4 linked regions of the Elephas maximus indicus genome follow. The protein of the gene in region 1 interacts with the protein of each later gene in a pairwise test. Links are inferred from orthologs where the notes say so. Each region holds a gene or a part of one and is shown in the gene's direction. Other genes may lie near its edges.

What was found.
Region 2: the proteins of KASH5 (region 1) and CDC73 interact in binary tests that used the Homo sapiens proteins (3 or more experiments, as listed by UniProt). The two-hybrid records come from large-scale screens. The link is inferred for Elephas maximus indicus from reciprocal best matches to the Homo sapiens genes KASH5 and CDC73.
Region 3: the proteins of KASH5 (region 1) and GPATCH4 interact in binary tests that used the Homo sapiens proteins (3 or more experiments, as listed by UniProt). The two-hybrid records come from large-scale screens. The link is inferred for Elephas maximus indicus from reciprocal best matches to the Homo sapiens genes KASH5 and GPATCH4.
Region 4: the proteins of KASH5 (region 1) and TRAF3IP3 interact in binary tests that used the Homo sapiens proteins (3 or more experiments, as listed by UniProt). The two-hybrid records come from large-scale screens. The link is inferred for Elephas maximus indicus from reciprocal best matches to the Homo sapiens genes KASH5 and TRAF3IP3.

What each region holds. Positions count from the first base shown.
Region 1 is NC_064829.1:99,849,825-99,856,676, forward strand, and holds the start of KASH5 (protein KASH5), read left to right. Parts: upstream 1-3,840; coding exon 3,841-3,883; intron 3,884-6,852. UniProt on the Homo sapiens protein: As a component of the LINC (LInker of Nucleoskeleton and Cytoskeleton) complex, involved in the connection between the nuclear lamina and the cytoskeleton.
Region 2 is NC_064842.1:58,646,272-58,654,248, forward strand, and holds the start of CDC73 (parafibromin), read left to right. Parts: upstream 1-4,974; 5' UTR 4,975-5,218; coding exon 5,219-5,349; intron 5,350-7,828; coding exon 7,829-7,934; intron 7,935-7,977.
Region 3 is NC_064821.1:194,355,415-194,363,242, reverse strand, and holds the start of GPATCH4 (G patch domain-containing protein 4), read left to right. Parts: upstream 1-4,811; 5' UTR 4,812-5,125; intron 5,126-7,828.
Region 4 is NC_064836.1:20,811,022-20,818,477, forward strand, and holds the start of TRAF3IP3 (TRAF3-interacting JNK-activating modulator), read left to right. Parts: upstream 1-4,439; 5' UTR 4,440-4,678; intron 4,679-7,456. UniProt on the Homo sapiens protein: Adapter protein that plays essential roles in both innate and adaptive immunity. Plays a crucial role in the regulation of thymocyte development.

The sequences.
Region 1 (6,852 bases):
ATGAAGTTTTTAATTCTTGTGGAATCCAGATTTCTGGGCTGATATTATGAAAGATTTTATGCTAATTATTTGAAATTTTAGATTAAATGGACAAATTCCTTGAAAACCACAGCTTGCCAAAAGTGAACTAGATCATCTGAATAGTTGTATTTTTTTAATATAAATATAGATATTTACATTATATTTATAGTATAAATCCAGATTTCTGGATTCCATCAAGGTTGAAGTGACCCACCCAAGCTATCACCCTAAGATGATCTTTGAGCCTTGAGCCTTGAGAAAACTGCCTTAAATCAAACAATACCCATTCCCATCAAGTAAATTCTGACTCGTTAGTAGTTCTTTTAAACGTATTAATAGTAAAGAACATTTTGCTTTGGGCATTGTGCTCTTTTAAGGAATTATCTATGTACAGTTTCAACAAAATAAACTCCAAAGGTCAAACTGGGGTTATGTCCACGAGTTATGTAAATGCTGTTTAGGCCCTATTTCCATGGCAACATATAATTACTAGTGACAAGATGTGGTATAAGAATCTTTGGACTCTTTTCTTCTTTGGAACATTTTTTACTTTCTAGTCAAAAATGTTGCCTCAATTTGTAAAACCTATGTTAAATACACTTCAATCGATTTCTATTAAAGGCTTAATATGATTTTTGTTTGCCTCTCTGAGTAAGTGACAGGTGAAATGACTGGTTGGATGAACAAGAGGTGGACAAGAGGATTCTTTTTCCGTGCCTTCTTGGGAGTCACATTTGGATGTAGTTCTCTTCCTCTCTCTAGCCAGAAAAGCTGAAAATAATTTTTCCCCCTCTCTCTTGGGAAAGACTCCTTCGGGGACCTATTAGGACAGCGTGACTGGTGCCAGGAAACGGTGCGGGAGCAGACGCAGGTTCAGGTGAGCCGGGGGGTGGAACATCATTGTGACGGTGATGGGGAGCCTGGTACGAAACAGAGGGCCGGCTGGGCACGGCTCGACAACTGATAAGAAGTGGCGGATGGCGGAGAGGCCCCTCAGTCCAATTCTCCCTTGCTCAGACCCATTTCACAGAAGTTTAAGGCACCGGAGAAGACCCCGGCGCCGCGTACCCTCCCCCCTCCCACCACCCACAAGCCACCCATCGTTCACCAGCTCGGTCAATGGGCACGCGCCCGCTCCAACCGGCTGGACGCGCGCCCCGGCAGCCCTACGCATGCGCGACCTCGCCATTACAGGTAACAGACGCGAAGCGCTCTCGCCTTTCCAGAGGAGTGCGCCTGAGCTGCGGGAGGAGGCGGGGGCGGCTGGGCGGGACTTAGACGCTGCGCGCGCGCGCTCGGCCCCGCCCCTCCCCGACCTCTTTGCTTTTTTTCTGGCGGGAAAAGCGCACGCGCACCCCTTCCTCTCCCTCCCTTCCCCTGGCGCGCAACCGCCTTTCGTCGTCAGTGGCCCTCGGCCGGTCCCGAGACGTGGCTTCAGGTGCACTCTGCGTGTGGCGAGGTTCCCCAGAATAGCCCCAGGGGAGAGCCCTTCCCGAAATCTTGGCAAAACCCCTCAAAGAGAGAGACTCTTCAATATGCCGGGGGAAAAAAAAAACCCGTTGCCGTTGACTCAATATCAGGGCCTTCCAAATCCTGTTAAGAGTCCTCTTGAACTCATGGCGGAATCCCCTCAGAAACCTTCGAAGAAACCCATCCAGAAATCTTATAGGTGGCCCCTGAAATCCTGTCAGAATCTTCTAGAAGTTCTGTCAGCCTCTCTCAAAGCCTGTCAGAGACTCCCTGAAATCCTGTTACACCCCTAATCCTAGCAGAGACCCCAAAATCCTGTCAGATCCCCAGAAAGCCTGTCGAACTCACCAAAAGTCCTGTCAGACTCCCAGAATCTAGTCGAAGACCCCCTCCAGAAATCCTGTCAAAGACTGCCCAAAATCCAGACACCTCTCCAGAAATCTTATCAAAGACTTCCCCAGAAATCCTATCAGAAACTTCCCAAAATCCAGAGATCACCCCAGAAATCTTGTCAGAGATTCCCCAAAGTCCTGTCAGAGAACCACAGAAATCCTGTCAGAGACTTCCCAAAATCCAGTCAGAGACCTCCCAGAATTCCTGCCGAGACCCCCTCCCACTGCAGCTTCCCATCGGAAGTCTTGTTGGACCCTTATCTGACCAGAGACCCCTCAAGACCTCTTCAGAAGTTAGTCCCCAAATTCTGTCATAGAGCTTCTGGCTCCTGTCAGTGCCACAACAGGGACCCTTCCTCACTCAAGCCCCACAACCATTGCCACCTTTTGCACCCTCAAGGGTTGTCCAAACCCTGGAAGGGTCTCTCTTCAAAGACCCTCTTTTCTAGGACCTTCTATAAGCCGCGGAGAAGCGTGCGACTTTCAGCTGTGGATCCCGATTGGCGCTGGGGAGAGCAGAGTGTTGGGAGTATTTGGTAAGGACAGAGGTCTGAGGAGGTGGGTTGAGGGGTTCCCCACTGCCCAGTGAGACAGAGAGCCCCCATATGGCCCTAGGGTCACAATCACATTGACCATTCACCCTGGCATGCTCAGTTCAGCCCAGTGGGCACCGTTTGGTATTGTGGAGGATCAGTCAAGTGGTAGACCTGGTTATAATGGAGGCAGCACAGGACATTGTCGGAGCACTGAGGAGTCCCAGGCTGCCCCAGGGACTCAGGGAACGTGTCCCAGGGGAACTGTGAGTGGGGCCGGGCTGGGGGTGGGAATGGCACCCAGAATATGGCCAAGGCCTGGAACGACTGGCCTCTAGCTGGGAATCCAGAAGAGGACCAGGACCAGGTATGGAGGGAAGATGCTGGACTTCCATTGCCATGATGAGGGTGAGGGACCCGGGAATGGGCTGTTGGAGAGAAAAATAGCAAAAAGAGAGAGGATGTTTCAGGGACTCCTGTGTGCAAGACCTTGAACAACAGCCCGAGGGGCTGGGATTCAGTCCTGGTGACACTAGGAAGCCATGAGAGGTTTGGGAGCAGGGATGGGGTCAAACTTGTGAGAAGCCAACAGTTCCAATACAGACTGATCTGGCAGTAAATAATGGCGGGAGCTCAGGGCAGTGTGGGGATCCAGAGACAGTGCCTGGTTCAGCCCAGGAGTGGAAATCAGAATTATCTTCCCAGAGTGGACATCCAGGCCAAAGCAGGAAGGGCTGACGAGTCAGTTCCTGTGATAGTGGCTTGGGGAAGGATGAACAGCATGCAGTTCTGAGTTGCTAGAGCATTAAGTGGGATTTGGGGTGGGGAGGTGGATGAGGCCAGGCCAGGCTCAGGAGCTGGGCTCTGTCCTGGGGGTGCTGGGGAGCCATGGGAGGGTATTGAACAAGGAAGGGCAGGTCAACTCTGGGGTCATGTGTAGAAGGGACTAGAGAGGAGAGACTGGAGGCTGGGAGACCAGAGAGGAGGCTAGGTGGAGGCTAGGTCCAGGGGGAGAGGACGAGGCCTGAGCCAGGGTTGTGGGGACAACTGGAGGCAAGGAGGCCACCCTGTTCTCCCTGACCAGGAGGCAGTGCCCCCTACTCACTAGCCCCCCGCTTTGATCTCTGCTGCCTGCGCCCCAGGCCCCCATTTTCCCAGCCCACACCTCCAGTCCATAAAACAGGTCAGAGCGGGCACTGCTTTGGTCCAGGCGGGGGTGGGCAAACAGGTTCTGAGACCCGAGAGCAGCCTGGGGCATAGGCAGGGTGGCACAGGCCCCCATCTGCGGGTGCCCAGTCGGAGGAAGCCATTCTCTGATTGTCCTTCCAGGAGCTCTCGAGGCAGCCAGTCCCCTCCCTGCCCCCCCTGTTGACGGAGGGAGGCTGTTAGCTTTGCCCGCAGCTTCAGAGCGGGCGGAGTGGCCCATGGACCTACCTGAGGGCTGGGCTGGTGGCCCTGCTGCAGCAAGTAAGTGGCTGGCTGGCGTGGGGGGTCAGTGCTGAGCAGCGAGCAGTGGGTTAACAGGGCGGGCCCCAGTGACGACTTGGGAAAGTTGGCTTGTGTGGCTGAATCTCCACCTTGGGGCAGGGGCGGGAGGGAAGGAGCAAGCAAACATTGATTAAGTACCTACTGTGTGCCCACCTAAGCAGCCCTGGTGGTGAAGTAATTCAGCACTTGACTACTACCCCAAAGCTCCGAGATTCAAACTCATCCAGCGGCTTCTTGGGAGAAAAGATGTGGCAGTCCGCTTCTGTAAAGATTACAGTCTAGAAAACCCTTTGGGGCAATTCTACTCTATCCAGCTGGTTTGGTTCACTTCGGTTCGGTGTGCCCACCCTTCTGTACACCTTGTCCTGTTTCTCTGGGGAGGCCAGACGGTGAGAGCAAAAGCCTTTGCACGCACTATTCCCCGGCCTGGAACTGCCTTCCCCAGTTACCTGCAGGTTCATCCCTCACATTATTCAGATCTCAAACCAAATGTTACCTTACTTCACAGAAGACAGCTGCCCTGTGACACTCTCTCCCTTTTTCTGCTTTGCTTTTCTTCACAGCACTGACATCTATTTGTCAGTTTAGTCTCAGTCTCCGCCACGGGAATGTGAGCAGCGCTTTGGTCTCTTTCATTCACTCTGCGATTCCCAGTCCCTAGAGCAGTGCCATCCAGTAGAAGCTAATATGCACCACATCTGTAATTTTCAATTTTTTAGTAGTCGCGTTTTTTAAAAAAGTAAAAAGGAACTGGCAAAATAAATGGCAATCATGCATTTTATTTAATCCACTATACCCAAAATAGTACCCTTTCAGCCTATAATCAGTACAGCAAATGAGATTATTTCACATTCTTTTATTCATACCAAGTCTTCAAGAGCTGGTGTGTATTTTACACTAACAGCATCTCAGTTTGCACTCTCCGCAGTGGCAAGTAGCTGCCGTATCGGGCAACATAGCTCTAGAACAATGGCTGGCACATAGTAGGAATGCAATAATTATTATTTGAATGACTGGGAGAATGCAGACCAAGTGGGTATAAAAGCTGCTTTGGGAGGAAGGCACTGGGTTACCCCTACTGAGACTCCTCAGGGGGTGTTGTGACGATGTGGTGCAGCCTTAAAGCTGGGACAGGGTGAGCGCTCCACAAATGGTAGTGATTTCAAAACCAAACTGCTCCTCAAAGCAAAACATTCCTGTTCTCGCTTTTCCCAAACGGGAAAATTGAGGCCTTGAAAGTCTTTGGCCAAAGGCCACACGCCTAGAAGTGGTAGAACCATCTAGACTGTGTTATAAGCACCCTCTGATGGCTCTCAATCTGATGTGAGGGCAGCTCTCCCACCCTTTGTTCAGTCTGAAAGGGGAGACAGGGCTCCCACCCTCTGGGAAAACCCAGTCTAAAGGGGGAGGGAGGTCCCCCACCTTTAGAAGAGCCCAGTCTAAAGAAGGAGGTAGGGCTCCCACCCTCTAGGAGAGCCCAGTCTGATGGGAGAGGCAGGGCTCCTACCATCTGGGAGAGCCCAGTCTAAAGGAGGAGGCAGGGCTCCCATCTTTGGGAGAGTCCAGTCTAATGGGGGAGGCAGGGTCCCTTTCTTAGAGGCTCCCAGCTGTCAGCAGCAGAGCCAGCTTCTTTTCCCAAGGCCCCACGCCCCAGGCCTGACTCTGGCCTCAGGAGGCTTTCCAGATAGGAATTCCAAGGCAGAGACCAGGCTGCGGAAACCAGAGGGCTGCCTGGCCAGGCTAAACTTCTCCTGCACCAGCAGAGGGCGTGCAGACACTGAGGAACCCGCAGGCAAGAACTGAAACAGCTTCAGGAGGCTCTGAGGAGAGAGAGGAACACACCCAAAGGGGGAGATGGAGACAGAGAAGGGCAGGAGGGGAAAAAGTCAGAGAGACGGCTGGAGGAAGGAAAGAGAAGGCTTGGGCAGAGGAGAGTCACTGAGAGATGGGAAGAGAAGAGAGAAGAAGGGGAGACAGGGAAGCAAATGAGGGCAAGAGACCTGGAGAGGCAAGACACAGGCGAGACAGACTGGGCGAATGAATGAGAGAAAGCCATCTAGAAGAGGCAGGGACAGAGACACAGAGAGAGACATCAAGGGAGGGTATAGATGAGTTCTGATCCTCAGAGCCCGTGGGATCGGGTACAGGGAGAAGATAAGACTTAAGGGAAAGCCCCTGGCACAGGCCCTGGCATCTCCCCTATCTGTGGGTTCCTGCCCCTCTTCTAGGCCAAACCTAGAAGCATGGGTTCAAGCCAGAGGGATGCCCAGTTTAGCTCACTGAAGAACCTCTGAAGAGTTAGAGGGATGAGAAAGAGGCTCATATGTTCAACAGGTGGCCTTGGGCAAGTCTGTAACTTCTCTGTGCCTCGGTGTCCTCATCTGTAAAGTAGGGCTAATAGTACTGACTACCCACATGGTGGGATGAGTTAATCCATGTGAAACGCCCAGAACAGGACTGACACCTGCTAAGTGCCGGCAGGAGCTTTCTGGATTTTACATCATTCCTTCCCTAGGAGGGAGGTAACACCATTCCCATTCTCCAGAGGAGGAAACGGGCTCAAGGAGGTCAAGTCCCTTGCCTCAGATGCCACCCCTTGTCTGAGGCAGAGCCCAGATGGCCCGGATGGGCCCAGCCCCACAGGTTTCTGAGGCCAGGACAGGCGTGCATCTATTGAGCACCTACTATCTGCAGGCACTGTGGATACAGCAGTGGCCAGAACAGACCCCATGACATAAGAGCTTCACATACACAGACCGAACCCATCTTACCTTCACCTTGTTGGCTGCCATTGAGTTGATTTTCAACTCACAGAGACTACATGTGACAGAGTAGGACTGCCCTCATAGGATTTCCAAAGCTGTAATCTTTATGGGAACAGATCACCAGGTCTTTTCTCCCACAGAGCTGCTGGTGGGTTCAAACCACCAGCCTTTCAGTTAGCAGCC
Region 2 (7,977 bases), on another chromosome or scaffold:
TTGTCATCTTGTTTTATTTTTGTGATTTCCCTATTGGGGTTGATAACTGTTTGCTCTGTCCTGTGTACTAAACTTGGGTTGATATGTTATTGATTTTCTATCCAGAGAACTCCCTTCAGTATTTCTTATATTTTTGGTTTTGGTTTTCCAAATTCCCTAGACTTCTGTTTATCTGGAAATGTCCCAATTTCACCTTCATATTTGAGAGACAATTTTTCTGGATATGATTCTTGGCTGGTAATTTTTTTCCTTCAATTTTTTATATAAGTCATCCCATTGCCTTCTTGCCTGCATGGTTTCTGCTGAGCAGTCTGAGCTTATTCTTATTGACTCTCCTTTGTAGGTGACTTTTCATTTATCCCTAGCTGCTCTTAAAATTCTTTTTTATTTTTGGCTTTGGCAAGTTCGATTATGTCTTGGTGACTTTCTTTTGAGATCTGCCTTTTGTGGGGTTTGATGAGCATCTTGAATACATATCTTCTCATCTTTCACAATATCAGGGAAGTTTTCTGCCAACAAATCTTCAAAAATTATCTCTGTATTTTCTGTTATCCCTCCCTGTTCTGGTACTCCAGTCACCCATAGGTTATGTCTCTTGATAGAGTCCCACGTGATTCTTAGGGTTTCTTCATTTTTTAAAAAATTCTTTTATCTGATTTTTCTTCAAATACACAGGTGCCAAGTGTTTTATCTACAATCTCACTATTTCTGGCTTCAATTTCCTCAATTCTGCTCTGCTGACTTTCTATTGAGTTCTCATATCTGTAATTTTATTGTTAATCTTATGATTCTTGGAGCTTATTACATTTTTCATTATGTTCTTGAATAACCTTTTTAATTTCTTCAGCTTCTTTATCTGTGTGTTCCTTGGCTTGCTCTGCGTTTTGCTTGATCTCGTTCCTGATTTCTTGAAGAGTTCTGTATATTAATCTTTTGTATTCTACATCTGGCAGTTCCAGAAAGATATCTTTATCTGGAAGATTCCTTGATTCTTTGTTTTTAGAGCTTGTTGAAGTGATCGTGGTCTGCTTCTTTATGTGATTTGTTATTGACTGATGTCTCCAAGCCATCTTTAAGCTATTATATCAGTTTATTTTAAGTTTGTTTACTGTATCCTAGCTTCTTTGTTTTGTTTTGATATGCCAAAATAGGCTATGTGAATGAGCTAGCTTGATTAGTTTTGCCTTTGAAGCACTAACGTTCTGTGACCAGTGGCTAGAGCTGTCACCAGGTTTATGAGCCTAGGAGCCCATTCACTTTTCTTGTATGGGTTCAGCTCAGGTGTCCAGGTAGTTGGTCATCAAGTGTGTGATACAGACTCTGTCCTACAGTCTTAGAGGGGCAGGGGTGATTGGTGTAGGTACCGGTATCTGGTTGCAGCAGGGGGTCATGCTTTGAACAAGGTATGGGGCTGACAACTATCTCCCAAGCATCTGTGAGGAAAGACTGATTCTTCCCTAGAGCACACAGGTGGCTGGGTTTTGTAGCTGGACCATGGGCACCTAATGCTTTTGGTTGTAAGGACTGGGAGGCACCACTTATCCTTGGACCCCTGTTGCGGTGACTAGATGATGTGGGTGGAGCCACCAATCCTCAAGCCCCTGATGTGGGCTGCTGAGGACCCTGTTTCACAGGCAAAATGCTGTCAAAGACCAAAACCTTCCCCTCCACTGCACAGTTGAAACAGTTGAAACCAGATCTCAAGCACATACACCATTGCAGTCTGCCAACAAAGGCCTATTCTCCTGAAATGGGCCCACACGGGTCTGCATAGGGGTGAAAGTTATTCGAAGTCTGCAGCCTCTTTGTGCCTGGACAGGAGCTGCTTCTGTCCTGAGCCCCCCATCTTAGTGGAGCTGGCAGATTATCTTTCCCCCTAATTGTTAATTTATTCCTTCTCCATGGCTGGGAGAATGGCTAAGGCGTGCAGTAAGACCTATCTCAGGCCTAGGGATCTCGACAACCACTGAAGCCAGTTTGAGGGCTGGTTTCATGGTAAAATAAACGCAATACTTAGCTTTTGTCAAGAGTGCTGTTCTTCTCTGCTTCCGGAGGTGTGAGTAGACTGTGCAGTGCACTGTCTCTCCCTGAGTAAGCAGCATCTGGAACGCTACAGCCAGCCCTGCCACGGTTGCTGTAGTGGATCGTGCCTGAGGGTTGCTGGTTTCCATAGAGTCAGGTCTGGCAACTCCTTGCTGCTTCTGAACTGTCTCTCCCTCCCCTGCCACTCAGTCTGATTTCCTAACTTTGCCTTTGATGTTCAGGGCTCCTAGCTTGTCCTATATATAATCATTTCAGTTGTTTTTTTGGGTCTTTGTTGTAAGAGGGATCACCGGAAGCGTCTGACTACCCCGCCATCTTGGCCCCATCATCCATCTTCTTTTTGATGCCTGCGTTATTCAATATTTTGCCCATTGAGTTCCTCAATATTGCAACTCTAAGCTTGACTTTTTTTCTTCAGTTCTTTCAGCTTGAGAAATACCAAGTGTGTTACTCCCTTTTGGTTTTATAACTCCAGGTGTTTGCATGTTTCATTATAATTCTTTGTCTTCTCGAGCTGCCTTTTGAAATCTTCAGTTCCTTTAGTTCGTCATTTCTTCATTTGCTTTATGTAGTCTATGTTCAAGTGCAAGTTTCAGAGTCTTCTGACATCCGTTTTGGTAAAAATATTGAATTTATTCATCTTTTACCTTAGTGGTTGGTGTATAAATTTGAATAATAGTCATATTAACTTGTCTTCCTTATAGGCTTATGGATATTATCACTGGCAGTGTTGTACTTCAGGATAGATTTTGAAATGTTATTTTTGATGATGAACGTGACATCATTCCTCTTCAATTTGTCATTCTCAGCATAGTAGATCATATGATTGTCTGATTCAAAATGGCCATTACCAGTCCCTTTCAGCTCACTAATGCCTAGAATATTGATCTTTATGCGTTCCATTTAATTTTTGATGACTTCCTGTTTTCCGGGACTCATAGTTTGTACATTCCACGTTCCCATTATTAACGGATATTTGCAGCTTTTTCTTCTTAATTTTGAATTGTGCTACATCGGCAAATGAAGGTCCCAAAAGTTTTACTCTATCCATGTCACTATGGTCAACTCTATTTTGAGGCGCCAGCTCTTCCCCAGTTGTATTTTGAGTGACATCCATCCTGAGGAGCTCATCTTCTGGCAATATATCAGACAATGTTCTGTTGCTATTTGTTAAGTTTTCATAGCCAATTTTTTCAGAAATAGATTGCCAGGTCCTTCTTTGTAGTCTGCCTTAATATGGAAGCTCTGCTGAAAGCTGTCCATCAAGGCTGATCCTGCTGGTATTTGAAATATGATGGCATAGCTTCCAGCATCACAGCAACATGTAAGCCACTACAGTATGACACACTGACATAATAGTAGGGCATGTTATATGCTAAATAATGTGCAAGGTATTAGGATATGACAGTAAAGGTCTACAGCCCTTTAGTTTTGTAGATAAAGACAGGTTAGTAAACTAATAAGGGCAGTCAAGTAATATTGGCTGCACTGATCAAAGTATGAATAGAGTAGGCTGTGTAGGGATAAGACAGTAGTCAGTTAGAGTGGGTTTGTTTTGAGTGAGATTCAGGAAATCATCCTAGGGGTGAGAACATGAGAACATGTGCAAAACAGGTAAAATGTATCAAATTCACAGTTGCAGAATGACTACAGATAGTACAGCAATGAACCACATACTTTTATATCATCTCCTATTGCACATAGCAAAAATTTATTTCTTTCAAATCAGGAGAAGGAATTTGGGTGTGTCAATCACCTTCCTTTTTTTCCCCCTTTTACTTTAGTAGAAAGAATAATTATAACAAAATTATGGGACCCAAGATATACATTTTGCTTAGAGTACACAGGTTGAATTTATTTCAACTTTCCCAACACTGGTAGGACACTCATTGAGTCTTCTGGGTGCCAGCAAAAATCAGGTTGTCTGAAAGTGTTCTTCTACTGACAACAGTTTCGGGTTCCTGGTTTTTAACTTTTCCATTAGTATCTCAGAACAGGGCCCTTGTAGCCCATTGGGAATAGGGATGAGGGAAAGGGCCAAAATGGGGAAAGTCATGTGTGGAATTAAAACAACTAAAAAAAGCATTGCAGTTGAGTCCCTTCTGACTCATAGCTACCCTACAGGACACAGCAGAACTGCCCATAGGGTTTCCAAGGAGCGGTTGGTGGATTTGAACAGCCAGCATTTTGGTTAGCAATCATAGCTCTTAACCACTGTGCCACCAGGACTCCATGTATGGAATGGAGGGTGTAAAGAGAACATTTATGTTATTTTGATGATTTAGTAGACACTTTCACCTTATTCTCATACAATCCTCATAACATCCCTGAAGCTAATATCTGTATATTAATCCCATTTTATCCATTAAACCAATTGGTGCTGCTGTGAGAACGTTTGTAATTTGACCAAACTCAAACAACAGCTAATAAATAGTGGTTCCCGGAATTGAGGTCTGCCGTACTCGGTCTTTTCCACTAAGACAGTCCACCGAAAAAAACTCTTCTAAAGGAGTTTATCTGGATCACATTTAGAGGCCTTTTGGTAGATCTAGGTCATATCTAGATGGGAAGGTAATCCTACTTTTCCTGCAAATCCTTGGCCAAGCTCCACCCTCGCAAAGTAGCGACGCGAGAGCCTTTGGCCGCCCCCAAAGAGGTTGCACAGGGCTCAGCGAGTGCTCCAGGGAGAGAAGGATACACCAGCCACGCAGGTGCGCGCGCACCTGTCGCCTGTGGAGTGCGCGCTGCGGGGGATGAAGTACGTGCTTCGCGCGCGTGCGCGGGTAACCGGCAATACTCCTTGTACGTGCGCCGTACGTGGGCACAGAGTCCCTGCGCTCCGCGTTCGGTGTCGAGTGGAAGTCTGGGAGGGGCATTTTCCCGGGCGCTCACGGCTCCCCCTGGCGGCGGCCCGCAGCGCCGGAGGCGTGCAGTCAGGCGTTCTCCGCGGGCAGCCGGCGGCGGGGCCTTTGCCTTCTAGCGCGGGGTCCTCGGCGGCCTGGGTGGCTACTGCTCCCGCTGCTGTCGTAGGCGAGGGCGGCTGCTAGTTGCTCCGCTGTCTGTTCGCGGCAGCGTCGGCGGCGGCCGCTGAGGACGACGAGCCGACGGAGGAAGGCGGAGGCAGGCGCGGCGGCGGCGGCGGCGCCCGGGTCCGGCGGCGGCGAGGGGGGGGAAGATGGCGGACGTGCTCAGCGTCCTGCGACAGTACAACATCCAGAAGAAGGAGATCGTGGTGAAGGGAGACGAAGTGATCTTCGGGGAGTTCTCCTGGCCCAAGAACGTCAAGACCAACTATGTGGTGTGGGGGTAAGTGCGGTATGGCCGTGGCCGGGCGGCAGGGAAGAGTTGGGCGCCCCCAAGTGACCTCTTTGCTGAGCCCTCCTCCCGTTTCCCCTGGGGACGGGGACGAACAGGGTGCTCGGGCGAAAAGTTTCTGTCCGGAGCAGAAGTTGCACTTTGGGCTGAGACGCTGTGTCTGGAGCGACCCACCTCTTTAGAATTGGGGAAGCCATAGAAGAAGGTGACTTTTCTCGTTCATTTTTGTAGGTATGTATCGAGTACCCGTAATGTGTAGGGCTGGTGCACAAGTACACCTGAGCGTAGGTGCACAAAGGAACACATCATTTGGTGCCGGGGACGTCCCTGTTTGTTCTTTATTTCTCTTCTTTGATGCTGCCGTGTGTGGTGACTGTCTCCCCTGGCCCTGCAGCTCCTGCTTTATTTCTTCCCCTTTCGTGTTGGAGAGGGGGGTTATCCCTTAAGAGAGAAGGGAATCAACTCTGTGAAGTTTAGGTGGGAAGCGGTTTAGATTAATTTGGAAGAGTCGTCAAAATCTGTGTTGGAGGCGGAGGCAGGCGTTTCCTCAGGGAAAAAGTTGGTAGTGGAATGGAGTGAGTGTTTTATAGGTCTAATTAAGAAATTGAAGATGCGCATGGTTTTGGGAAGTGTGAGTTAAAGAAAAATGGCTTGGAACGTTGATCCACGTGGGGTTTCTTGAATTTAAATCACTCAGCGAAACATCCAGAGACAGGTCTAATAATCATTAAAAAAAATAGTGACGCCACTTTTCTTTGGTGCTTCCTTTGGGCGTTAGAACCTTGAACCAGGACTTCCATATCCAGCTTTGTTTGACTGAGGGAAAGATAGAGTGAAGCGGGGCAGTGGGCTTTATGAAGAGTTGCCCAGAAGTTAAGGGCAATTTTGTTTGTTGGTTGGTTCTTTTGTTTTTATTTTTATCTCGAGGTCTTATGATTTAATTTAGCTTTATGAAATGTGAGTGAAATGACATTCTCAGTTTACTGTGGGAAGTTTTAAAGAAATTTTTTATTTTAATCTTTACAAAATAATTTGCATGGACAAGATTACATATGATTGAATTTTTAATTTTTTTTCTTCTCTAGGAAAGTGGTTTAGGAATACCCAGGGTGCAGGGCAGTTCAATAATCAATGTGAGAAATAGAAAAATTCTTAAGACCTTGATCCCTGCCTCAGAGGAGGTTTATTTAATGTGAATAGAGACGATAACATAAATTGATGTGAAGTGTTTTCTGTCTCATAAAAAGAAAGCAGTCACTTCAGTCGGGTGGATGTTAGGAAAAATTTCATAGATGTAAGTTTGGCATGTTGGTTTCTAATACATTTTTCTTGAATAAATGAATAATCTTTAAAGAACGGGCAGGAATTCTGTGAGTAAAACGGTGGGTTAGGTCTTCCAAGATGATAGAACTGCATGTATAGAGGCATGAGAGCTGGAAAGTAAATGTGTTCACAGATAACAATAACAGTGAAAAAAGCATGCTTAGAACAGTAGGTTTCAAACTTTCAGAACAATGACTCAAACCAAGAAATATATTTTCATTCATATATATCTATACGTGCAAACGTTAACATTTTTATAGCTACGTAAATAGATATAACATTAAAGCTCTTGTTGCATGCAGTGCATTGTTATTTTTCTATTCTTTTCTATATCACCAAAAACAAAGAAAGCCTGGTAGTTACCCATACAGTATTTGATTTCATAGCATAGCGATGTGTGGCTTGAAATACATTGATTTAAAGGAAAAATAGGAATAGAAGCTAGGTAAGTAGATTCAGGGCTAATTGCAGTGGGCTGCATTCAGATGAATTCTAATAATATACTGACCATTTCACTTCTGGGTGGGAGAATGAAGTAAGAGGAGTGGGATCAGACGCCAACGTTGGTTTGGCAAGTAATATGCTTGAGTTAGAGAGGCTGCATCCCTAGGTGCGGCTGCATTTTGGGTAACGTCACTGGTCTAATCTGAGGGGTGTCGTAAGAAGCGTACCTCTAAAATTCATTGTCGGTTACTGTAAGAATTGTTGAGGATGTTGTTCAGCAGTATCTACTTTAGGAAGAGCCGTAAGATAAAATTGTCTTAAGTTGTAGCACCAATCATAGCTGTGCTTCTCCTTAACAATTTCGTTGTTTCTCATATAAGTTCTCCCTTATCTGTAACTGGTTAGGTTTCTCTTGCTATTGACAAAGTTCTGAGCCTAATTCTAAAAAGTTTATAGTACCAAAGAGCGTGAATTTTGCGTGCTTTCCTTTTTTCTTGCTTTTTCTCCTCGTTTTCCTTTGTGTTCTTTTTGTCCTAAAAACAGTTTGACTTAGTAGTCAATTTATATACTTTAGTGTGTTTTGGATAGCTATTTTAAATCCATTGTTAAGCAGCAAAGTGGGTATAAATAAATGAGTACCTTAAATTAAGCTCAAATTGTTGAATTAGAATTGTTGGTAAAAATCTTGCCTTAATGATTTTAGGACTGGAAAGGAAGGCCAACCCAGAGAGTATTACACGTTGGATTCTATCTTATTTCTTCTTAACAATGTACACCTTTCTCATCCTGTGTATGTCCGACGTGCAGCCGTAAGTAGAATTTATTTTAAAATTGCTTCTTTGAATTAATGTT
Region 3 (7,828 bases), on another chromosome or scaffold:
TCAATGCCATTCTTGCAGGGGGAAAATGTTATTTCATAGTGGTTTTGATTTGCATTTCTAATGGCTAATGATGGTGAGCATCTTTTCATGTATTTGTTGGCCACCTAAATATCCTCTTTGGTGTGTATCTGTCATGTCCTTTGTCCATTTTGTGATTGGGTTGCTTTTTATTGTTGAGTTGTTGAAGTTTTCTGAATATTTTGGAGATTAATCCTTTATCAGATATGTTGTTTCCAAAGATTTTTTCCCAGTCTTTAGGCTCTCTTTTTACTCTCTTGGAAAAGTCTTTTTTTGTGTGTGTGTGCTTTAAGTGAAACTTTACAGCTCAAGTTAGTTTCTCATACAAAAATTTATACACACCTTGTTATGGAAAATTCTTCTGATCAACATAAATATTGAATTTTTAAGAAGTTCCAGTTATCAAGTTTATTTTCTGGAGTTTGTGCATTTTTAATTATGCTTAATATTCTATTTATGCCATAAATTAGAGCCCCTAGTGTTGTCCCTATATTTTCCTTCATGAACTTTATAGTTCTAGGTTTTACATTTAGGTCTTTGACCTATTTCAAGTTACTTTTTATGTATGGGGAGATGTATGGCTCCTGTTTCATTTTTCTGCAAATGGATATCGAGTTTTCCAGCACCATTTGTTGAAGAGACAGTCTCTTCCCCCATTTAATGAATTTCTACCCTTTGTTGAAGATCAGGTGTCCATAGGTGGATGAATTTATTTCTGGATTCTCAATTCTGTTCCATTGGTCTATGTGTCTGTTGTTGTACCAGTACCAGGCTGTTTTGACTACTGTAGCTGTATAGTAGATTCTGAGATCGGGTAGTGTGAAGCCTCTTATTTTGTTCTTCTTTTTCAGTAATGTTTTACTTATCTGGGGGCTCTTTCCTTTCCATATAAAGTTGATGATTAGTTTTTCCATCTCGTTAAAGAATGTTGTTGGGATTTGGGTCAGGATTTCATTGTATATATAGATCGCTTTTGTGGTATTGACATTTTCACAATGTTAGGTCTTCCTATCCATGAGCATGGTATGTTTTTCCATTCATGAATGTCTCTTTTGGTTTCTTGCAGTGGTGTTTTGTAGTTAGTTTTCTTTGTATAAGTGTTTTATGTCACCAAAGTGGGATGTTGGATATTTTGTTTATGAACTATGTTATGCCAGTTGGGGAACTATTGTAAATAGTATTCTTTTCCTGATTTCCTTTTTGGAGTTCTCTTTGTTAGTGTAGAGGAATCCAGCTGATTTTTGTATGTTGATCTAGTACTGTGTCACTTTACTGGATCCTTCTATCAGTTCCAGTAGCTTTCTTGTGGATTCTCTGAGATTTTCTATGTATAGGATCATATCATCTGTGAATAGGGATAGTTTTACTTCTTCCTTACCAATACGGGTGCCTTTTATTTCCCTTTCTTGTTTTATTGCTCCAGCTAGGACTTCCAGTACAATGTTGAATAAGAGTAGTGATAAAGGGAATCCTCGTATGGTTCCCATTCTCAGGGAGAATGCTTTCAATCTCTGTCCATTGAGAATAATGTTGGCTGTTGGTTTTGTTGTATATGCCCTTAATGATGTTGAGGGATTTCCCTTCTATCGCTATTTTGGTAAGAGTTTTTATCAGGAATGGGTGTTGGACTTTTATCAAATGCCTTTTCTGCATCAGTTGAGATGATCATGTGATTCTTTTCCTTTGTTTCATTTATGTGGATTACGCTGATTGATTTTCTGATTTTGAACCACCCTTGTGTACCTGGTATGAATACCACTTGGTCATGTTTTTGGTTTTTTTTTATGCTCATGGATTCTATTGGCTAGAATTTTGTTTAAGATTTTTTTCATCAATGTTCATGAGGGATATTGGCCTATAATTTTCTTTTTTAGTGGTGCCTTTGCCAAAAAAAAAAAAAAAAAAAAAAAATTTTTTTTTTTTTTTTGCCTGGCTTTGATATCAGGGTTATGCTGGCTTCATAGAACAAACTCAGGAGTATTCCTTCTTTTTCTATGTTCTGGAATAGTTTGAGTAGTATTGGTATCAACTCTTCTCTGAATGTCTAGTAAAACTCTCCAGTGAAACTGTCTGGGCCAGGGTTTTTTCTTTTCTTTTTTTTTTTTATGACCTCTTCAATGTCTTCTTTTGTTATGGGTCTGTTCAGATTTTGTACCTCAGTGTTAGTTTAGGTAGGTAGTGTGTTTCTAGGGATTTGCCCATTTCCTCTAGTTTTCAAATTTTTAGAGCATAATTTTTTGTAGTATTCTGTTATGATCCTTTTTATTTCAGTTGATTCTGTTGTGATGTTGCCCATCTCATTTCTTATTGGGGTTATTTATATTTCTCTTTGTCAATTTGGCCAGTGGTTTGTCAATTTTATTGATCCTTTCAAAGAACCATCTTGTAGTTTTGTTGATTGTTTCAATTGTTGTTTCACTTATTTCTGCTCTAGTCTTTATTATTTCCTTTCTTCGGCTGGCTGTGGGCTTTTTTTGCCGCTCTTTTCCTATTTGTTCAAGTTGTATAGCTAAGGTATTGATTTTGGCCCTTCTTTTTTGATGTGTGCATTTATTGCTATAAATTGGCCTCTGAGCAGCTTTTGCTCTTTCCCAAAAGTTTAGATATGTTGTATTTTCATTTGATTCTAGGAATTTTTAGATTTCATTTTTAACTTCTATTATCCAGTGGTTTTTAAGAGTGGCATTGTTCAGTTTCCAAGTATTTGATTTTTTCCTGTTATTGATTTCTAATTTTACAGCGTTTTGATCTGAGAAGATGCTTTGCCTTATTTTCATATTTTTTAATTTATTGAGGCTTGCTTTGCGGTCTAAGATACAGTCTTTTCTAGAGAATGATCCATGTATGCTGGAGAAGAATGTGGTATTTCATTCCCTTTGATGGCTGAATAATATTACATTGTATATCTATACAATATTTTGTTTATCCATTCATCAGTTGATGGACATTTGGGCTTCCACTTTCTGATTATTATGAATAATGTTGCTATGAGCATTCATATGCAGGCTTTTGTGTGGACAAGATTATTAGCCCCAAAAGGACAAGGGTTGAATACTTTTAGATCTTTAATCACTGGTCTATGGAGCCCTGGTGGCGAAGTGGTTAAGAGTTCAGCTGCTAACCAAAATGTCAGCAGTTCAAATCCACCAGCCACTCCTTGGAAACTCTCTGGAGCAGTTCTACTTTGTCCTTTGGGATCAACTCAACAGCAACGGGTTTTGGTCTGGTTTTAATCCCTGGTCTATAAAACAAAAACAAAAACCCACTGCCGTCGAGTCGATTCCGACTCACAGTGACCCTGTAGGACAGAGTAGAACTGACCCATACAGTTTCCAAGGAGCGCCTGGAGGATTCAAACTGCCAGCCTCTTGGTTAGCAGCTGTAGCACTTAACCACTACGCCACCAGGGTTTCCCCCTGGTCAATAAAAAAAAAAAAAATAGGAGACCCTTAATAAACGTTTGTTGAATGAATGGGTCAGCAAAGCAGAGAGCTGAAGGTCCTAGGCCAGACTAGGAGTCTTAAATTAAAGGTTTACAGCCACCTAATTTTCAGAGTGGCCTGCAAAGTATGCCACACAGGAATTGTGGGCTGGAAAGGGCTCTCGAGGTTACCTCACTTAGGAGTTTTCAAAGTATTCAATGTTTGTATACATTACATTTCATACAAACATATTATAAATTATACACATGCACATTAAAATATAAAAGAGAAGTGGTAGAAGACATGGGAGTGGTAGAAGAGATGGAGGAGGGGTGATGAAAACTTAAGTCCTGTGTATGTAATTTTCTCAGTGGCTCCTCAGACACTGAAATAAAACTAAGTTTGCAAAATTATCGAACTAGTCCAATACCCTAATTTTACAAATCAGGGAAGGGGTGCTCTTGGGCTACGAGAAGTGACTTGTTCAAGGTCACACAATTAGTGGTAGAGTGGGAAAGGGACTCAGCTCACAGAATGTTCCTCTAGTGAATTTAGGAGTCCCTTGAAACATCCCACAACCCTTCTGCAAGCATCTAAAATTTCAGTAACCAAGATCCATTGTTTAAAGTATTGTCCCCATGTAACATATTTTAAAAGTAAAATTAATTTTATGGAAAAAATCTTACGGAGACAAGGGGATATGACATACTGAGCAGTTGTAATAGGAACTCTTCACTGTGAAATGGCGATTTTTCTCTTCGGAAGTTCCTAGGGGGCGCTAAGTGAAGGAAAGTATTGACATGGGGCGGGAGGATAAGAAAGATTTTAAACAGGTTTTAGTTCCTGGGCACTGTTCGGAAAGGGTGGCTGAGTGAAGCCTAAGGATAGCTTGTGGGAGGGGGGGCAGGTGCAACCCCTTTTGCTGGTTTCTTTGTAAAATCTTTTCCCCTCCCCTGCTCAGTAGGTCCTCATTACCTACAAGGCAAGTCCAAAACTGCTCAGCCTGTCATTCATTCCTGGATCCTGCATCTCTCTCTCTCCGTGCCCTAAACCCCATCTCCTCCAGTTCCACCGAAGGTCCCAACTTCCGTGGTTAGCATGGTGTTCCCCGCAATCAGGGCTCCTGTCTTAGGCATCTTTGTATCCCGAATACCAAAGGCACAGGTCCTGGGACATCGTAATGAGTCAAAAAAGTGTTTGATGAACCTACTAAAATCTCTAGCCTTTAGGCTTTTATAAATAACTTCCTATAGGCTGAGTATTCGTCCCCGCAAAATCACCGCAGAAATGCTACCTCCTTCTCTGCCATCTCTCAGGTAACTCGGTGCTTCCCCTTGTTTTCCATCTTGTGCCCAGGACTAACTGAAGGTGGGACCCGAAGCTGTTCTCAGCTTTTTGGGAAAGCCATCGTCCCTTGGCCGCTCAGAACCTGCAGAGAGGAAGCAAGCCGAACCCCTCCAGAACCTCCGGAAACGGGTACACTCCAGGGCCCAATTCCTATGGTGAGCACACAGGTAAGCTGCCCTCCATCATAGAGTTTCTCCTGGGAGGACCCGGACGTTGGTTTCCTCGGGCGTCTCTATGGTTTCGACAGCCTAGAAGTACCAAGGCAGCACTTCCGGGAAGATGGCTGCACGCATGTCATTTCTGGCACATGTTTCTACGGAGGGGATAGCGCAATGACGGTAAGGGGCTCCCATCCCTCTGAATGTTAGCAGGAGGAGCCCGGGCTCAGGAGCAAATGTGAGAGGGAGAGTGTGGTCTTACCCAAGTGCGACTGCGGCGGGAGGGCTGGAATTTTGACCTCAAGAGGAAGGAGGCCGAGGGAAAGGGCAGCCGGCTGGGTCTTTCCTTCAGAAAACTCAGGTTGACCGGAGAGAAGAGTGTCTCTAAGTGTGCTCGCAGCCTTTGCAAAGACTGCGGCTCACAGCCTGGGTGGGACCTTGTCGCGTCTGTCCACAGTTACCCATTAGAACAGTTCCTACCTATGTGTCATTCAGTTCAACGAATACGACTGAACACATTATCGGTTCCTGGCGCTTCATTAAGTGCTCTGGGGTTGGGGAATAAAGCCAAAAGCCAGCCTCTAACTTCCAGGGGGTGTAGTTTTTAATTAACTGCGACAAGGGGTAGGGTGTGGGCAGCCTTATGGCAGCAAGCACAAGGAGCTGTAAGAGACTGAAGACTGTAATAATTAAGAACGGCAGTTCTGAAATGCCTGAGTACTAGTGCTGTATCCACTGTTTGCTAGCTAAAGTGAAACCTGTGAGAGCCGGAACTCGACAGAAACTGCCTTGTGTTTCCAGGTCTCTCAAGTTTTACGCCTTTGACAGGGTGCACTCTTAATTAACACTTTTCTGTTGCTCGGCTTAGTGGAAAATATATGAGTTTTCCTTCTCTGATATGGGTTCCGGCTTTTGCAGGTTTTACTGTATTTGACTTGAGCAAGTAACTAACCCTTTCAGTGCCTGGTTCCTCATATGTAAATTACACCTAATAACACCTAATAGGGTTGTCGGGAGAGTTAAATGAGATAGTCCACGTAAAGCTATTAGTAACAGGCTGGCCGGCATTGAGTAAATGGGCAACAAGTTTTAGAGGTGGTTTTCACTATTGCAGTCTAGGGTTTGAGAGGTCAAAGATGTCTTCTGGCAGAAGGCGGAGTTTTGAGACTGCCTTAAAAGCTTCCATGTTTGAATTTTACTTCTTATAGTATCAAGAAGCAAGATAAGGCCACTTCTTCGCGCAACACTTCTGTTGGGACTCAAGGTATCAGTTAGGTCTTCAAGTAATTGACCTTCACGATAGAAATGTGAACAGTGCTCTGAGTTATCTGAAATGTGTGTAGAATTTGGCCCAAAGAGATTGGTCACCATTCTTATCCCTAACTGGAACTCTGGTGGCACAGTGGTTAAGCATTTGGCGGCTAACCAAAAGGTCGGCAGTTCAAATCCACCAGCCACTCTTTGGAAACCCTTTGGTGCAGTTCTACTCTGTCCTGTAGAGTCACTGTAAGTCAGAATTGACTCAACGGCAGTGGGCTCTTGCTTAGGAGGGTTGACTATAATGCAACCAATTTTTCTAAACATACTATGAGACTGTCTTTAAACTCAAATGAAAGTTTTATTACCCTTTAGAGTTGTCACTTTGGGAGGCTAAGAATTATTCCAGTGGTGCCCATTAATTAGCTTTAAACATTGTCTACAATGCCTGTAATAAGTGAACAATCTACAGATCTTAGTACGAGTTGACTGTAGTAAGTCAACATTAGTAGTCTTAGTTTTGAATGTCTTGTGCCATCTTAACCACTTTGGAGAAATTCCGTATGTAAGTTGGATAATGCCATTGTGGGTCCAGAAGGAGAAACACTGCATGTAAAGAAATGCAGCTTAGTTATTCAGTAGAAAGAGGACTAACTTTGGAGTCAGGCAATCTGGGCTCATATTTTAGCTCTATCTCTTACTAGCTGTGTAACGTCAGACAGGAAACCCAGGCCTTGTTTTCCTTATTTGTAAAATAAGGGCAACCTATCTTGCAGAGCTGTCAGGACATGTGTAATCTACTTGTTAGGCGTTACAAAAAAAAAAAAAAAACTCTTGCCGTCAAGTCGATTTCGACTCATAGTGATTCTGCAGGCATCACCAGTTGCCATGAATTCTGACTCATGGTGACACCATGCATATCAGAGTAGAACTGTGCTCCATAGGGTTTTCAATGACTGATCTTTTGGAAATAGATTACCAGGCCTTTCTTTTCAGGTGCCTCTGGGTGGACTCAAACCACCAACTTTTCAGTTAGCAGCATAGCTCTTGATCTGTTTGTGCCACCCGGGGACTCCCTTTGTTACGCATTAAGTGCTAAATAAAAATGCCTTAACTAAGCTGGACAGTTTCAAAAGGGGAGCTCCAAAAAGACTGAAAGACAGTGGCAGTGTGGGAATAGGTATGTAGCCCACACACTGGAAAGACAGTGTAAATGCTGGAGCATAGGTAGGGACTATGGGTTCTTAGAATAACTTAACAGGCACCTGATAGCTTTGTTTAACATAGTAGTATATTTTGGGAGATGTTACCAAGTAGTGGTGAAGAGTGTAGACTGCAGATAAGACTGCCTGTGTTTGAATTCTACACCCATTAGCTGTGTTACCTTGAGCAAATCACCTGAGCTCTTTAGGCCTTAGTACAATAGGGATAATAATACTTTCCTGATAGGCTGGGAAGATTACATGAGGTAACCCATGTAAAGCCTTAGCAGAGTCTAGCATGTGGTAAGCTCCCATATATTTAGTTATTAACATTGGAGCCCTGGTGGTGTAGTCGTTAAGAGAGCGGCTGCTAACCAAAAGGCCAGCAGTTCAAATCCACCAGTTGCTCTTTGGAAACTCTATG
Region 4 (7,456 bases), on another chromosome or scaffold:
AGTCAGAACCAACTCGATGGCACCTAACAACACCATTTCAAGAGTAAACAGGGAGAATTTTTTTCCAGGCTGTTGAAGTATTCATTTCTTCCTATTTATGTTATTTATGTCTAATTTTATTACACTTTGGTCAGAGAATCCAGCTATAATACATTTTTTTTTTGTTAGTGTATTCAGGTTTGGTTTAGATCGATATGGTCAATATTTGAAAATAAGATATATTCTCTAAGTCCAGAGTTCGTTCTCTGACCCTCTTTCTCTCTGGTTCTTCCTTGACGAATAGATAAGACAATCTTATTAATTGTATTGTTCTTAGAGCACAGTGTTAAGAGCACAGGCTCTCATGTCAAGCAAACCTGGGTCCAACACTTGCTGTGTGACCTTGAGTACATTACTAGTCTCTCCAAACCCCAGGTAAAGTAGGTATAGTATGGTATAGTATGCCACTGAGTGTTGCATAGCCCTAAAAGAGCTTTTGATTTTTGTACACATTTGTTTTTTATTTCTAATGAATTCCAAATAGTTGGTCTACAGTAACTCCTATCACAATCTCCTATGCTCTCTTATGCTCTACTGCCCTAGGCTCCCAGAGCTCTCTCACTTGTTTATGCCAACAAAATTCTCTCTCTCATTCCACCATCTGTCCTTTACTCATTCTCATCCCCATATGTCATGCTCCAAACACATAATCCTGAGGGAATGTTGTCTTCTGTTCTAGTGCTTTTCTCTCAATAATCCACCCCCTGTGCTTTCCCTGTATCCCTTGTCTTTTTTCTCCTCAAAGAATGGTGGAAGAAATAGGAAAAGAAGATTGTGACAACCCCACATATGTATGTTAATAGATTTTATCTTATTGCAGCTATTTAATAGTCTCATTCCTTTACAAGTCACACCTCACATGTATCAAACCTTAGAGTTCACAACCCAAAAAAACCATTGCTGTTGAGTGGACTCCGACTCATACCAACCCTATAGGACAGAGTAGAGCTGCCCCATAGGGTTTCCAAAGAGAACCTGGTAGATTCAAACTGCTAACCTTTTGGTTAGCAGCCATAGCTCTTAACCACTATGCCACCAGGGTTCACAGGAGCCATATAAATCATCCGACCACCAAACTAAATGGATCATTTAAACAAGGTGAACTGCACAAGGTTACAAAGCTACTCAGCTAACTTGTCCCAGCTCAGGTCCTTCTCCAATATTTTATGCTGAATTTCTTGGGAATTTCCTGAATATAAAATTTGTAATGGTTTCTTTTTAATGCACGCAGATAAGTTGCTTTTAGTTTTTCTCCAAGCAGTCCATCTGACTGGGAGAAAGAATGTTTTACAAAATTCTGCCAGCTTAACAGAAAAATAAACCTAATACAACTTGGACAAAGGACTTGAACAGTTCACCAAAGAGGACAGTCAAACAAGCACAAGAAAAGATGCTCAACATCATTAATTGTTGTTGTTAGACGCTGTTGAGTCAGTTCCAAACTCATAGTGATGCCATGTACAACAGAACCAAACACTGCCTGGTCCTGTGCTATTCTGACATGTTTGAGCCCATTGTTGCAGCCACGGTGTCAACCCATCTTGTTGAGGGTCTTCCTCTTTTTTGCAGACCCTCTACTACTGCCTTTCAACCTGAGGGGCTCATCTTCCAGCACTATATCAGACAATGTTCTGCTGCTATTCATAAGGTTTTCACCGGCCAGTTTTTTCAAAAGTAAACCGCATGGTCCTTCTTCCTACTCTTAGTCTGAAAGCTCAGCTGAAACCTGTCCACCAAGGGTGGCTCTGCTGGCATTTGAAATACTGGTGGCAAAGCTTCCAGGATCACAGCAACACACAAGCCACCACAGTAAGACAAACTGACAGACGTGTGGTGGCATTAACCATTAAAGAGATGCAAATCAAAATCACAACGTGATATCATCTCACCCTTATTAGAATGGCAATGATAAAAAAGAAAAGAAAAGAAAAAAAACAGGAAACAATAGGTATTGGTAAGATTGCAGAGAAAGTAGAACTCTTATCCACTGCTGGTGGGTATATAAAATGGTGCAGCCGCTTTGGAAAACTATTTGGCAGTTCCTCAAAAAGCTGAACATAGATCTACCATATGATCCAGCAATCCCAATCCTAGGTGTAAACACGGAAGAAGTGAAGGCAGGAACACAAACAGAAGCCTGTACACCAATGTTCACTGCAGCACTTTTCACAATAGCCAAAAGGTGGAAACAACCGAAATGTCCCTCAAAAGACAAAAGAAAAACAAAATGTGCTATATACACACAATGCAATACTACTCAGCCATAAAGAGAAATGAAGTCCTGATGCATGCCACCACATGGGTGAACCTTGAAAACATCATGCTGAACGAAATAAGTCTGTCACGAAAGGACAAATACTGTATGATCTCACTTATATGAAATAAGCAAATATATAGAGACCAAAGATTATTAGTACTTACCAGGGGTGGGAGTGAAGGAGAAGGAGGAAATTTTTGCTTAGGGGCATTGAGTTTATGTTAATGGTGATGGAATGATTTTGGAAAACATAGAGAATGATTGCACGACTTGAATAATGTAATCAATGTCACTAAATTGTACATGTAGAAACTGAGTTGGTGTATGTTTTGTTACATGTATTTTCATCACAATAAAATTTTTTTAAATATACAATGGAAAAGAGACACAGACATTAGGAAAGATGGTCATGTGAACATAGAAGCAGAGACTAGAGTTATGCATTTACAAGCCAAGTGTTATGAATTAAATTGTATTCCCAAAAAATGTGTGTCAACTTGGCTAGGCCATGATTCCCAGTGTCACGGATTGAATTGTGTCCCCCCAAAATATCTGTCAACTTAGGTCATGGTTCCCAGTATTGTATGACTGTCCATTTCATCATCTGATGTGATTTCCCTATGTGTTGTAAATCCTATCACTATGATGTAATGAGATGGATTAGTAGCAGTTATGTTGATGATATCTACAAGGTTAGTGTCTTAAGCCAATCTCTTTTGAGATACGAAAGAGAGAAGCGAGCAGGGAGACATGGGGACCACCGTAGAAAGCAGCACTGGGAGCAGAGTGTGTCCTTTGGACCCAGGGTCCCTGCACCTGAGAAGCTCCTCGACCAGGGGACGATTGATGATAAGGACCTTCCTCCAGAGCTGACAGAGAAAGCCTTCTCCTGGAACAAATGCTCTGAATTCGGACTTCTAGTCTCCTAGGCTGTGAGAGAATAAACTCTCTTTGTTAAAGCCATCCACTTATGGTATTTCTGTTATGGCAGCACTAGATAACTAAGACACCCAATATTGTGTGACTGTCCACCATTTTGTCATCTAATGTGATTTTCCTTTGTGTTGTAAATCCTACCTGATGTATATGAGGCAGGATTAGAGGCAGTTATGTTAATGGGGCAGGACTCAAACTACAGGATTAGGTTGTAGCTTGAGTCAATCTCTTCTGAGACATAAAAAAGAGAAGTGAGCAGAGAGACAGGGGGACCTCATACTACCAAGAATGAAAAACCAGGAGGGGAGTGAGTCCTTTGAACCCACAGTTCCTGCACTGAGAAGCTCCTATAATGGGGAAAGATTGAGGACAAAGACCTTCCCCCAGAGCTGACAGAGAGAAAAAGCCTTCCCCTGGAGCTGGCACCCTGAATTCGGACTTCTAGCCTCCCAAACTGTGAGAGAATAAACTTCTTTTTTGTTAAAGCACCCACTTGTGATGTTTCTGTTACAGCAGCACTAGAAAACTAAGACACCAAGGAACACCAAAAATTGCCAGGAACCACCAGAAACTGGAAGAGGCAAGGAAAGATTTTCTCCCCTAGAGCCTTCAGAGGGAACATGGCCCTGCTGATAACATGGTTTTGAACTTCTGGTCTCCAGGACTGTGAGAGAATAAATTTCTATTAATTTAAGTGGCCTAAAAAAGAAAAAGATTCTGCCCACCATTCCTCCCTTCATTCTTCAGTTACCCACTCACCACCTTTTCACTCCCTCCTCATTGCTTCAAAAAGAAGCAAACCCACAGTTGAACTCATTTCAAAATTCTGAGGAAGACAGCAGGTACTTTAGAAGAGTGGAAACTCTACAACACCAGGGTTGGGGAGAGATGACTGAAAGAGGGAGAAAAGCCTTATACAGAGAATTACCTGATACACATGAAGGCCCACACTGGGAGCACCTCTTCTAGGTCCCACCACCCAAATGGCTTTTTTCCCCTTAAAGAAACTACAGGGTTTGAATCTGATCCAGAAGTCCATCCTTGTCTCATCCTGGAATGGGAGCTTGACTTGTGAGTGGAGTAGCTCCAGCCAATACAGTAGCAAGAGAAAGGGTGGCTGGGGTGCCCACTGATGGGAGGAGCTCCTGAGCCCAGCCCTGGAGGACTGAAGAGTTCTGGGGCCCACTCAAATCGTGCCAGAGAGCAAGAGAGAGGAACTGGGGTTTATGAGTACTGTGGCTTTGTCTGTTTCCTGTTTCAGCAAGGCTGCTGTAGAAAAAGAAAGACATTACCAAGAAGGGAAATGCCGATGGGGCCCAGGGCCACGGACTGAGAGCTTGCACTTCACTCAGCTGCTGTCTTACCCCATCTGAGACCAGAGCCAAGATCTGCCCAGGAGCTGGCATGCTTTCCTGAGCTGTTGGGGCTGGAGCCTGGTACCCAGAGGTAACTGATAAGAAGGATGCTTTTGCATCTAGGTTTGAGGCCTCCAACTCTGGGGGGGGGGGACAGAAGACAGAAGATATTCTGTCATCCAGGCTGCCCAGGGCGGAAGAGGGAGACACAGAAGTGGGTGGCATAGTTTAAAAGAGTCATCGATTTCAGTAACCAAGAAAGGGCCCTGTGTTGATTTTCAAAGGCATTAGCCACAGCACAGGGGTACAGTATCCATCCCTCCTAGATTAGAAGCAATCAAAAGACTTAGGGGATGCCCACAACATGAAGCAGCTTAGATGTTGGCCCTTCTCTCCTCAGCTCACACTGAGAGCTCTGGGTAAGCAAGGCCAGACCTATGCAGGAAGCCATCTGCTGTCTGCTGCACACACATCCAGGAAGCCCCTCTCGAGTGAGGTGCAGTCGCTCCGAATTTTTTTCTCTGTGGCAGAGAGGGAGCCTCACCCACCCAGCACCACCTCTTCCTCCAAGTTCCAATTGGGCCCTGTCATGCTACCAAGGGGCACCCAGAGATGCCAGCAAGCCTGGGCAGCAGCCCAGTGACCTTTCTTTGAACCCCACAGGGACCAGTTCCTTTTTCTTCTACAGCCCATCCTTGTCAATCAGGCATCCCACATGGCTTCTTGTTTTTAAGCAAGTCAGAAAGGTTTAGACAAGTCGGAAAGATGGGTATGGTTCTACTTGTCTGTGCCACACCGGATGTAGGGGTCTGGGGACCTGGGAGGTCTGCTCTAAGGAGCCACTTCTACTGTGACTCCCCTCTTGGACGATGAGTTCCGGTATCTACCCCTCTGTCATTTGTTCGGTGCACCAATGTACCCAGACTAGGTAGAGAACCCAGACAGACCCATCTCAGCTCCCCGCCCTCCCCCACCCACCCCACCCCTGTCTCCACCCCCACCAGCCCTTCCCTCTTGCGACAGGGAGGTGGGAGGATTCTGAATAAGGGGATTCGCCTCCACTAAAAAGCCTGAGAGTAACCTGGGGCCAAACAGGGAGGGGAACCAGAACTTCACATTTGATGGGTGGGATTCAGGCAGGCTGGACCCCAATTCTTCACCCCCACCTGTTCTTCCTGTCTGGCCTGAGACTGTGGTTGTACCAAGACGACAGAGGAGCCCTTTCTCCTGGTGGCCCAAACCCAAAGGCCAGATAAACTGGAGAAGGACATTTGATTTCAAGCTGGGGCATCCTCTCAATTTCCTTCAGAGAAAGAGAAGGTTCAGAGAATTAGAGAATGAGGCATTCTTGGTCCTGGAAGAGGGCTAGGTTAGCTTGGGGTCTTTGTCTTTCACCAACGAGCCTTCAAGAACACCCAAGATCAGAATAAAAAAAAAGAATGGCAGGGGTAATAATTAAAACACCTCATATAAGGCTAACATTTTCTGTGTACTATGTGCCAGGTGCTTCATATACATTTTCTCATTTAATCCTCACAACCCTACCAGGTAGATTCTAGCCCCATTTTATAAATGAGGAAGTTGAGGCCGAGGGAGGTTTAGCTGCTTGTCCAAAAAAGTGTAGGTAGAAGGTGACAGAGCCAGAAAATGAATCCACACAGTCTGACTTCAGAGCCAGGGCAGAATGGTTGCGGTGATATGGCTTAGGGACACCACGAGTATAAGTTCGCACAGAGAGCTGACATGCAAATATTCCTGACTCTCCTCCATACCTTAGTACAGATGGGCCACTCAGATATTTTACTAAGTTTTTATAGAAAGAAGTGACTGGTAGAAAGTCAAGAGACTCCCACAGAATAGGGGTAACAAGTCTGAACAAAGGGGATTGCTGTTCAGGGATAATACACAGAGGACAAACATTTAAAAAAAAAAAAAAAAAAACTTCACAATTCATTGTGCCCCTCAAACTCTGGAGGGTCAGGCATTTGAGAGCATCCAGGGCTTGGCCACCTAACTCCTCTCAGGCAGTGAGAATTTCGCACTCATGACTCTGTGAAATGAGGAGCATGATCAGAGAGAGAGAACAAGAATCCTGCAGAGAATTCCGGACTGAGCTGGGATGAGCAGCAAAGTTTCAATAAAGGGGCAGAGAGGCTGCTACCTGTCCAGTCTGTTTGGCCTATAAATAAACATGAGGGCCCATCTCGAAAATTCCTTGTATCTGGTGAAGCTGAGATTCCCTTCCCTGGCCTGCCCAGGAATTAAGGTTCCCAGGGTGGTGGTAGTGAAGTTTCGGGAAGAAGAGAAGCGGTGGCTGTGAGGGGAGATCCACTTCCTTCATCAGTAGCTGGTCTGACTCCAGGGACCAAAAGAGGGAGGACAGAGTTGCCAGTGTTCAGGGTACAGCTCATCCAGGTACACCCCAACTCAGCAAAGCCACCAGAATGTACTACTAATTATGCACATTTGCAGAAGGTACGTGTGGCGAGTAGGAAGAGAAGGAAGGAGAGAGAAGGGTTTGGGTGTTATGTGAACGGCAAAAGGTGAGACCCCGCAAAAGGTTCTCAAGTCTTCTACACTGAGCCTGGGTCCCTGGAGACCTTTGGTTACTTCGAGTTGTTTTTGTTTTGCTTTTATTTATAATATCTTTGTTGAGGTATAATTCATGTGGTTACTGGTTTTGATGGGGCTCTCTACACTTGGGTCCAGGGAGATTAGTGGGCTAAGGAAAGCAGTCTTGGCACCAGCCTTAGCTCTAACAGGGAGGTAATCGCTCCTACAAAAAAAAAACCCAGAAGCCTCAGTTGGGAGAGTTAACGAGCCAGAAGCTCTGAAATGGGTCCTGGCAGCACTGGACATGCAGCAGATA